Anolis sagrei: one gene and its partner. The protein of the gene in region 2 interacts with the protein of the main gene of each other region in a biochemical or structural test. Links are inferred from orthologs where the notes say so. Each region holds a gene or a part of one and is shown on either strand. Other genes may lie near its edges.

What was found. The genes of interacting proteins can lie anywhere in the genome.
Region 1: the proteins of P-selectin-like (region 2) and CD24 form a complex in vitro, tested with the Homo sapiens proteins (2 studies listed by BioGRID and IntAct). The link is inferred for Anolis sagrei from reciprocal best matches to the Homo sapiens genes SELP and CD24.

The regions. Positions count from the first base shown.
Region 1 is NC_090021.1:95,242,129-95,245,879, reverse strand, and holds the start of CD24 (signal transducer CD24), read right to left. Parts: upstream 2,476-3,751; 5' UTR 2,419-2,475; coding exon 2,350-2,418; intron 1-2,349.
Region 2 is NC_090024.1:130,221,460-130,225,210, reverse strand, and holds the start of P-selectin-like, read right to left. Parts: upstream 2,792-3,751; coding exon 2,654-2,791; intron 1-2,653. UniProt on the Homo sapiens protein: Ca(2+)-dependent receptor for myeloid cells that binds to carbohydrates on neutrophils and monocytes. Mediates the interaction of activated endothelial cells or platelets with leukocytes. The ligand recognized is sialyl-Lewis X.

The sequences.
Region 1 (3,751 bases), on a different chromosome or scaffold from region 2:
TTCCTGGATAGGGAGAGTCAAACAGCATCAGGGAGGGAAGGGGTTTCATTCAATGAATCACATTTAATATGTAGGTAATATCAACCTAAGAGTCACCTTAGGGCTGAGAAAGGTGGGATATAAATTCCATAAATAAATGCCGTAAATAAAACCTAAGAGAGTTTAATAGTTTTTTTTTCAACTAACTACAGATATAGAATTCCACCCATTCAAGCAAAGGAGGAAAAAAACCTCTCCAGCAAACTGTCTAAAGTTATAGGAAAGCCTACTTTCTGTGAGTTTTCCTTCAAGGCTTTTTAAACTCATTTTTTCTTTTTCCTTGCTTGAACGAAAGGGGGATCCTATTCCAAGAAAGCAATCTACCTCCCTTCTTTATCCCTATCTACATCACACTTGAAAATGAATCCACTTAAAATCCTGTTTCTGGGGTTTGTTGTTTAGTGAGGCTGTTAAAGGCTTCTCTCTAAACTACAAACCCCAGAATTCTGCAGGAAGCAGAAACTGGATTTTAAGTGGATTCATTCTCCCTATCCAGGGAAAATGTGTGATGGGCTCCCTAGAGAACAGCGCTGATGATTGCTTTGAAGAGTTATGGGTTAACATTTGGCTGGGTGAGAAGTTTGGTGTAATGTGGGCTTTTTTTTCCGTGTCAGAAGCAACTTGAGAAACTGCAAGTCGTTTCTGGTGTGAGAGAATTGGCTGCCTGCAAGGACGTTGCCCAGGCACTTGCAAAGACATTACCCAGGGGGATGTTTTACCATCCTGTGGGAGGCTTCTCTCATGTCCCCACATGGGAAGCTGGATTTGAACTACCAACCTTTTGGTCAACAGTTCTGCCAGCACAAAGGTTGAACTCAGGCATGGGAAACTTCAGTCCTCCAGGTGTTTTGGACTTCAACTCCCACAATTCTTAACAGCCTACTACAGCTCCCAGAAGCCCCCAGCCTGTGAATGCAAGCTGGGCGGCTTCTGTGAGCTGTAGTAAGCTGTTAGGAATTGTGGGAGTTGAAGTCCAAAACACCTGGAGGGCCCAAGTTTGCCCAGGCCTGGGTTAACCCATTGTGCCAATGGGGGGGGGGGGCTTTAACTTGGGCTGATGACTGTGAAGGTTGTTCTCCTTTTAGTCTGGGCTCTGTGAACAAAGCTAAGCCCAGAAGGAGAGGAGCAGCAGAGCGGTCTTTTCATACTGGTTTAAGACATTTCCCTTAGCTGGGAAGACGAAGCAAGGCTTGGAAGAATGGTAATGTTACCAACCTCCAAAATACGGGGTCTGGGAGGGAAGTGAATTATATTTTTTGGACCTCCAGGGGTGTGGAGAAGGAACAAATACGAAGCCTGGGAGGGAAGAGATATATTTTGAGGTCTTCAGGGATGGATTGTTGTGAGTTTTCCAGGCTGTGTGGCCATGTTCCAGAAGCATTCCCTCCTGACGTTTTGCTTGCATCTATAGCAGGCATTTTCAGAGGTTGTGAGGTCTGCTGGAAACTAGGAAAAAGGGCTTTATATATCTGGTGGTGCTCATCTCCATTTCTCCATAAATCCCATTTCCTAGTTTCCAGCAGACCTCACAACCCCTGAGGATGTCTTCCATAGATGCAGGCGAAACATCAGGAGAGAATGCTTCTGGAACATGGCCAGGCAGCCCTGAAAACTCACAACACAACCTAGTGATTCTGGCCATGAAAGCCATTCTTCAAGGGTGTATCTACACTGGAGAATGAACGCGCTTTGGCACTCTTGGACTACCAGAGCTCAGGGCTATGCAATCAGGGGAGTGATAGCACTCGTCAGCAGAGAAGGCTAAAGAGTTGTTAAAGTGGGATCAAGCTGCGTTAATTCTGGAGCGTAGATGCGCCCTCAGATCAAAAAGACCTTTTCTCCCTGAGGATCTCGCTTTCGGGCACCTGAGCCCTGTCCGTGCTGAAAAAGGTTGTTTTTCGGTCGGTTTGGCCATGTTCTAGAAGCATTCTCTCCTGACGTTTCGCCTGCATCTATGGCAGGCATCCCCAGAGGTTGTGAAGTCTGAATGCCTGCCATAGATGCAGAAAAAAACTTGCAACAACCCAGTGATTCCAGCCATGAAAGCCTTCGACAAGATACCCGAGCCCAAGCAAGGTCTGTTTGCGTCCGCTGCAGGGAGGGAAGGGGGGGGGGGTTTCTCCTTCTGCACCCCCCCCCCCCGTTTTGGTTGAACCCATCCTACTGGGGAGCACCCACCCACCCACGCACCCGCTCCGTTCAGAGGGCTTCCCAACTCCGCTGGGCTCTGCTGGGGTGAAAGAGAGAGAGACTGGGGGGGCGGTCGGGGGGGGGGTGCCCCGGGCGGGCAGGCAGCCCTCCTTGGCTCACCTGCGTGGGGAGGAGAAGCGCCAGGAGCAGGAGCCCTAAGCCCAGCCGCGTCGCCAGCGCCCTGCCCATCTCTGCCGCTCGGCCACCCGGCTTCGACGCGCTCCAGCCTCAGATGCGAGGCCGAGGAGGCGCGCCAGGGCTTTTATGGGCGCGCCCGGGACAGGGGCGGGGAATGCAGCCTCCCCATTGGCCCCTCGCCTCCCCCCCCTCCCAGACCGCCCCCTCTATTGGTCTCACCCATCCCACACACACGCACACGCAGAGGGTCTTCTCCATGAGTCCTCCCACCAAGACAGATGCCCAGCGCCATTGCGCGAATCCAAGCATCTTCCAGAGCGTCGCCTGACCAGGAATAAATATTATTTGTTTTATCGTCTCAGGAGCAAATCAAGTTGTAATGGATTTAAAAAACAAACAAAAAACACCCTGGGATGTTTATTTATCGTCTCAGGAGCGAAGCAAGGGTACCCTTGTAATGTATTTAAAAAGCAAGCAAACAAACAAAACACAAAGTTTGAAAGCTTGGCATTCGGTTTATTTATTTATTTATTTATTTATTTGCAGTATTTATACAGGGTTAGTCAAAATGAATAGGCCAATAAGAAAATTAATTGTATATCTTATTGGCCTATTCATTTTGACTAACCCTGTATAACACCCCTTCCAGATAGCAGTCAGTGCCCCCAATCAACATAAATACAGTTTAAAACATTACATATAATATAATATAAGCCATAAAAGCCACAAAACACAAGTCCTCAGCATCCCATCACTCAATTTGATTTTTCCATTGCATTGTCCAATCATTCTGTGGGTCTCAATTAGTCTGTTACACTGTGTCTGCAAATGCCTGCTCAAACAGCCAGGAGGCCGATCAAATATCCATAGCCGAGGGGTCACCACTGAGAAGGCCCTGTCTCTCATTCCCACCAATCACATCTGAGAAGGGGGCGGGACCGAGAGCAGGGCCTCTCCAGACGATCTTAAGCACTTAGATGGTTCATAGGGAGACATGCATTCGGACAGGTAAACTGGGCCGGAACCGCTTAGTGCTTTAAAGGCTAAATTTGAATTGTGCCCGGTAGCACAAAGGACTAAATGTCCTTTGACCAGAAGCTGGCCACTTGGAGTGCCCCTGGTGTTGCTGTAAGAAGGAGCTTCCACCACACTCCAAGGCAGAGAGTACCACTGATGAACAGCTCTCACAGTCAGGAAGTTCTTCCTAATGTTCAGGTGCAATCTCCTTTCCTGTAGTTTGAACCCATTGCTCTGAATCCTAGTTTCCAGGGCAGCAAAAAACAAGCCTGTTCCCTTTGCCTTGTGATACCCTCTCACATATTTATGCATGGCAATCATGCCTCCTCTCAGCCTTCTGTTCTGCAGGCTAAATGGATTTAACTTT
Region 2 (3,751 bases):
CCTCCCTTCTTTTCTCCAGATGCAAAGGGAAACGAGAAAGGGGATAACAAGTTGAAGCCAAATTAAATAAGGGGGTTGTGTTGAATTAGTGTCACAACATATTTTATTTATTTCCCAGAAGAGGAATCAAGGTGACATACAACAAAGCAATATCTATTGTCGAAGGCTTTCATGGCTGGAATCACTGGGTTATTGTAGGTTTTTCGAGCTATAACATGGCCATATAGCTTTAAAAATCTACAACAACCTACAAAAATCCTAGAACATGGCCATATAGCCCGAAAAACCTACAGCAACCCAAAGCAATATCTGTCTCAAACAGAATTTCAAACAATGTGAAAATATATCTTTAATTCTAGTACGGTAAAATTTCCTTACAACCCACACCCTTAAATGCACAGATAGAATCATAGAATCATAGAGTTGGAAGAGACCTCCTGGGCCATCCAGTCCAACCCCCTGCCAAGAAGCAGGAATACTGCATTCAAATCACCCCTGACAAATGGCCATCCAGCCTCTGCTTAAAAGCTTCCAAAGAAGGAGCCTCCACCACACTCCGGGGCAGAGAGTTCCACTGCTGAACGGCTCTCACAGTCAGGAAGTTCTTCCTAATGTTCAGATGGAATCTCCTCTCTTGTAGTTTGAAGCCATTGTTCCGCGTCCTAGTCTCCAGGGAAGCAGAAAACAAGCTTGTTCCCTCCTCCCTGTGGCTTCCTCTCACATATTTATACATGGCTATCATATCTCCTCTCAGCCTTCTCTTCTTCAGGCTAAACATGCCCAGTTCCCTAAGCCGCTCCTCATAGGGCTTGTTCTCCAGATCATTGATAATATTTATTTCAGTTACCTTTTTTGCAAGACCAAGCATTGTTTTGCTTTAATATCAAGTGTAACATGGACAGGTTGATGGGCACGCAAGGGCCACAATCTAAAGACATTTACTAACGGTAGTGGAGGAGCCCTTCCCATTTGTGTATCTCTCCAAATTGTTGTTGATACTAATTTTAAAATACTGTCTAGAGCTGCAGCAACATACAAGCTGAGCATATTTTTTATCCATAATTCCGAAATCCTAAACTCTTCGAAATTGTCCACATGAGTGACTGAGATATTGACATTATTGAGAGTTTGGTATTTTGTATCCAAAATATTAAAAATATTGGGAATAGAATTACCTTCAGGCTATGTGAATAAAGTGTAACCAAAACATAAATAATTTCATGTTAGATTTTAATCCTATCTCCCATTATGAACATATATGTAATTACAGGTATTCTAAAATCTGGGGGAGGGGGGGGGGGGATCCAAAATAAAAACACTTCTGGTCTTATGCATTTGGATAACTCAATCTGAATATTTTTAAAAGCCGGCATGGCATAAAGTTCAACTTAAATCAGGGTTGAATCCGGAATTATACTTCCCAATTTGGTTGGAGCCTTCCCATCCTTTTATATATGTAACTGTATATTAATAAAAATGTACTGTTCGTTTGTGGGGTTAACATAACTCAAAAACCACTGGACGAATTGCCACCAAATTTTGCCACAAAATACCTACTAATCCAAGGAGTGACCATCACTAAAAAAATGATTTTATCATTTGGGAGTTGTAGTTGCTTTGATTTATAGTACACCTACAATCAAAGAACATTCTGAACTCCACAAATGATGGAATTGAACCAAATGTGGTACACAGGACTCCCATGACCAACAGAAAATACTAAAAGGGCTTGGTGAGCATTGACCTTGAGTTTGGGAGTTGCAGTTCACCTACATCTAAACAGCACTCTGGACCAAACTTGGCACAAATATTCCATATGCCCAAATATGAACACAGATGGAGTAGGAAATAGACCTTGACATTTGGGAGTTGTAGTTACTGAGATTTATAGTTCACCTACAAACAAAGAGCATGCTGAACTCCACCAACGACAAAATTGGGGCAAACTTCCCACACAAAACCCCCATTCTTAAGGCCATCCAGTCCAACTCCCTCCATCGGGGCAAGAAAACGTAATCAAGGCCCTCCTGACAAAGAGCCATCCAGCCATAAATATAGATAGATATATATATGATTCACACACACACAAATACAGTATCACAGATTTGAAAGGGATTCCTAAAGAAGGACAATAATATGTTGCATGTTCCAAAGAAGGCAAACCAGACAATCTCCATATCAACACTAACAAACAGCAAGAAATACTGTTTACCCACAAGCATAAAGAAATTACATATATTAGAAACCAACACTTTCTCATTACTTTATTTTCCAGATAACGAGACTGGGCCACAGCAACGCGTGGCAGGGGACCGCTAGTATGTCATATATTTTTGTATTTGTTCTTACCTATCCAATACTCCAGGCCACAATCTAGTAAAAATGAAGGTTTTAAAATCGATGTCAATCATTTTTATTATGACCAAATTGTATTTTGAGTCCTCCCCTGACTTTCATGTTTATAGTCGTTTCTGCAGATGCTCATCTAGCCATTCCTCTTAGGCCATGGGGTTACCTCTGGTCCTTTTGAATTTTAATGTGCTTCCTTGCTATACCTGTTCCAGGCTACAGCAAATAGCAAATTCAACGCTATTTCATTCCTAAATCTGTATCCTTTGGAATTCTGTATATAGAGAAATAAAACTGTACTTACCATTTTTATTGCAAATCCCTCTGATGGCTCTTTTGCACGCTTCTCCTTGTGTGGGTTGGCATAAACACTACACCTCCTTCCTCTGTGTAGACTTGTGGTACCAACACTTCCTCTGGAGTGTAGAAAAGCTGATTGCATCCTTTTCCTATTGCCTTCCTCATCGTACCGCCCTCTCAAAACTTCATGCCATTAACTCCTTGGCAATTGGTACAGTTTATGCATGCAACTGTGTCTTTTTTAATGTTAGAATAAACTCAGCTCTAGTGTCATATGCTCATGAAACAGGAATAGTAAGGGAACATCCATGTCCTGTGGCATGTTGTCAATTAAGGGTTGTTCCAGATAGGCACTATATCCCAGGCTCTGATCCCAGGTTTTCTGTTTATCCCAGATTATCTGGTAGTGGGGACTCATATGATCCAGGTTAAAGCAGAAAACCTGGGATCAGATCCTGGGATATAGGGCCTGTCTGGAAGGGCACTAAAATGTTTGTTGATAAGCAATATGTACTTGACAGTAAAGTTGTAGCCAAATTCAGTCAAAGCCAAAGTTTGGGTGAAATTACTGTATATACTTCAGTATAGGCCTAGTTTTCAGCCCTTTTTTAAGGCTGAAAAAGCTCCCCGCGGCTTATACTCGAGTCAGGGTTATTTATTATTTTCCTCCTCCTCCTCCTCCTCCTCCTCCTCCTCTTCTTCTTCTTCTTCTTCTTCTTCTTCTTCTTCTTACTACTACTACTACTATTATTACATTTATTACATTTATTTATTATTATTTATTTACAGTTCTTATATTCCGCCCTTCTCATCCCGCAGGGGACTCAGGGCGGATTACAGTAAACACATATATGGCAAACATTCAATGCCAGTTTGACAAACAACATTTAACAGACAAAAGCTATTTAACTTTTTTTTTTCTGGCCGCCAGGGGAGCTGCTGCTTTTCATCGTCCATCAACGACACCGATGAAGTTCTTCCGCATTCCACATTCCCCGGAGTCTTCTTTCTTTATGGCCTCATAAATTAGTTAAATTTAGCCTCCCACACAAGGTGGTACCTTATTTTCCTACTTGACAGATGCAACTGTCTTTCGGGTTGC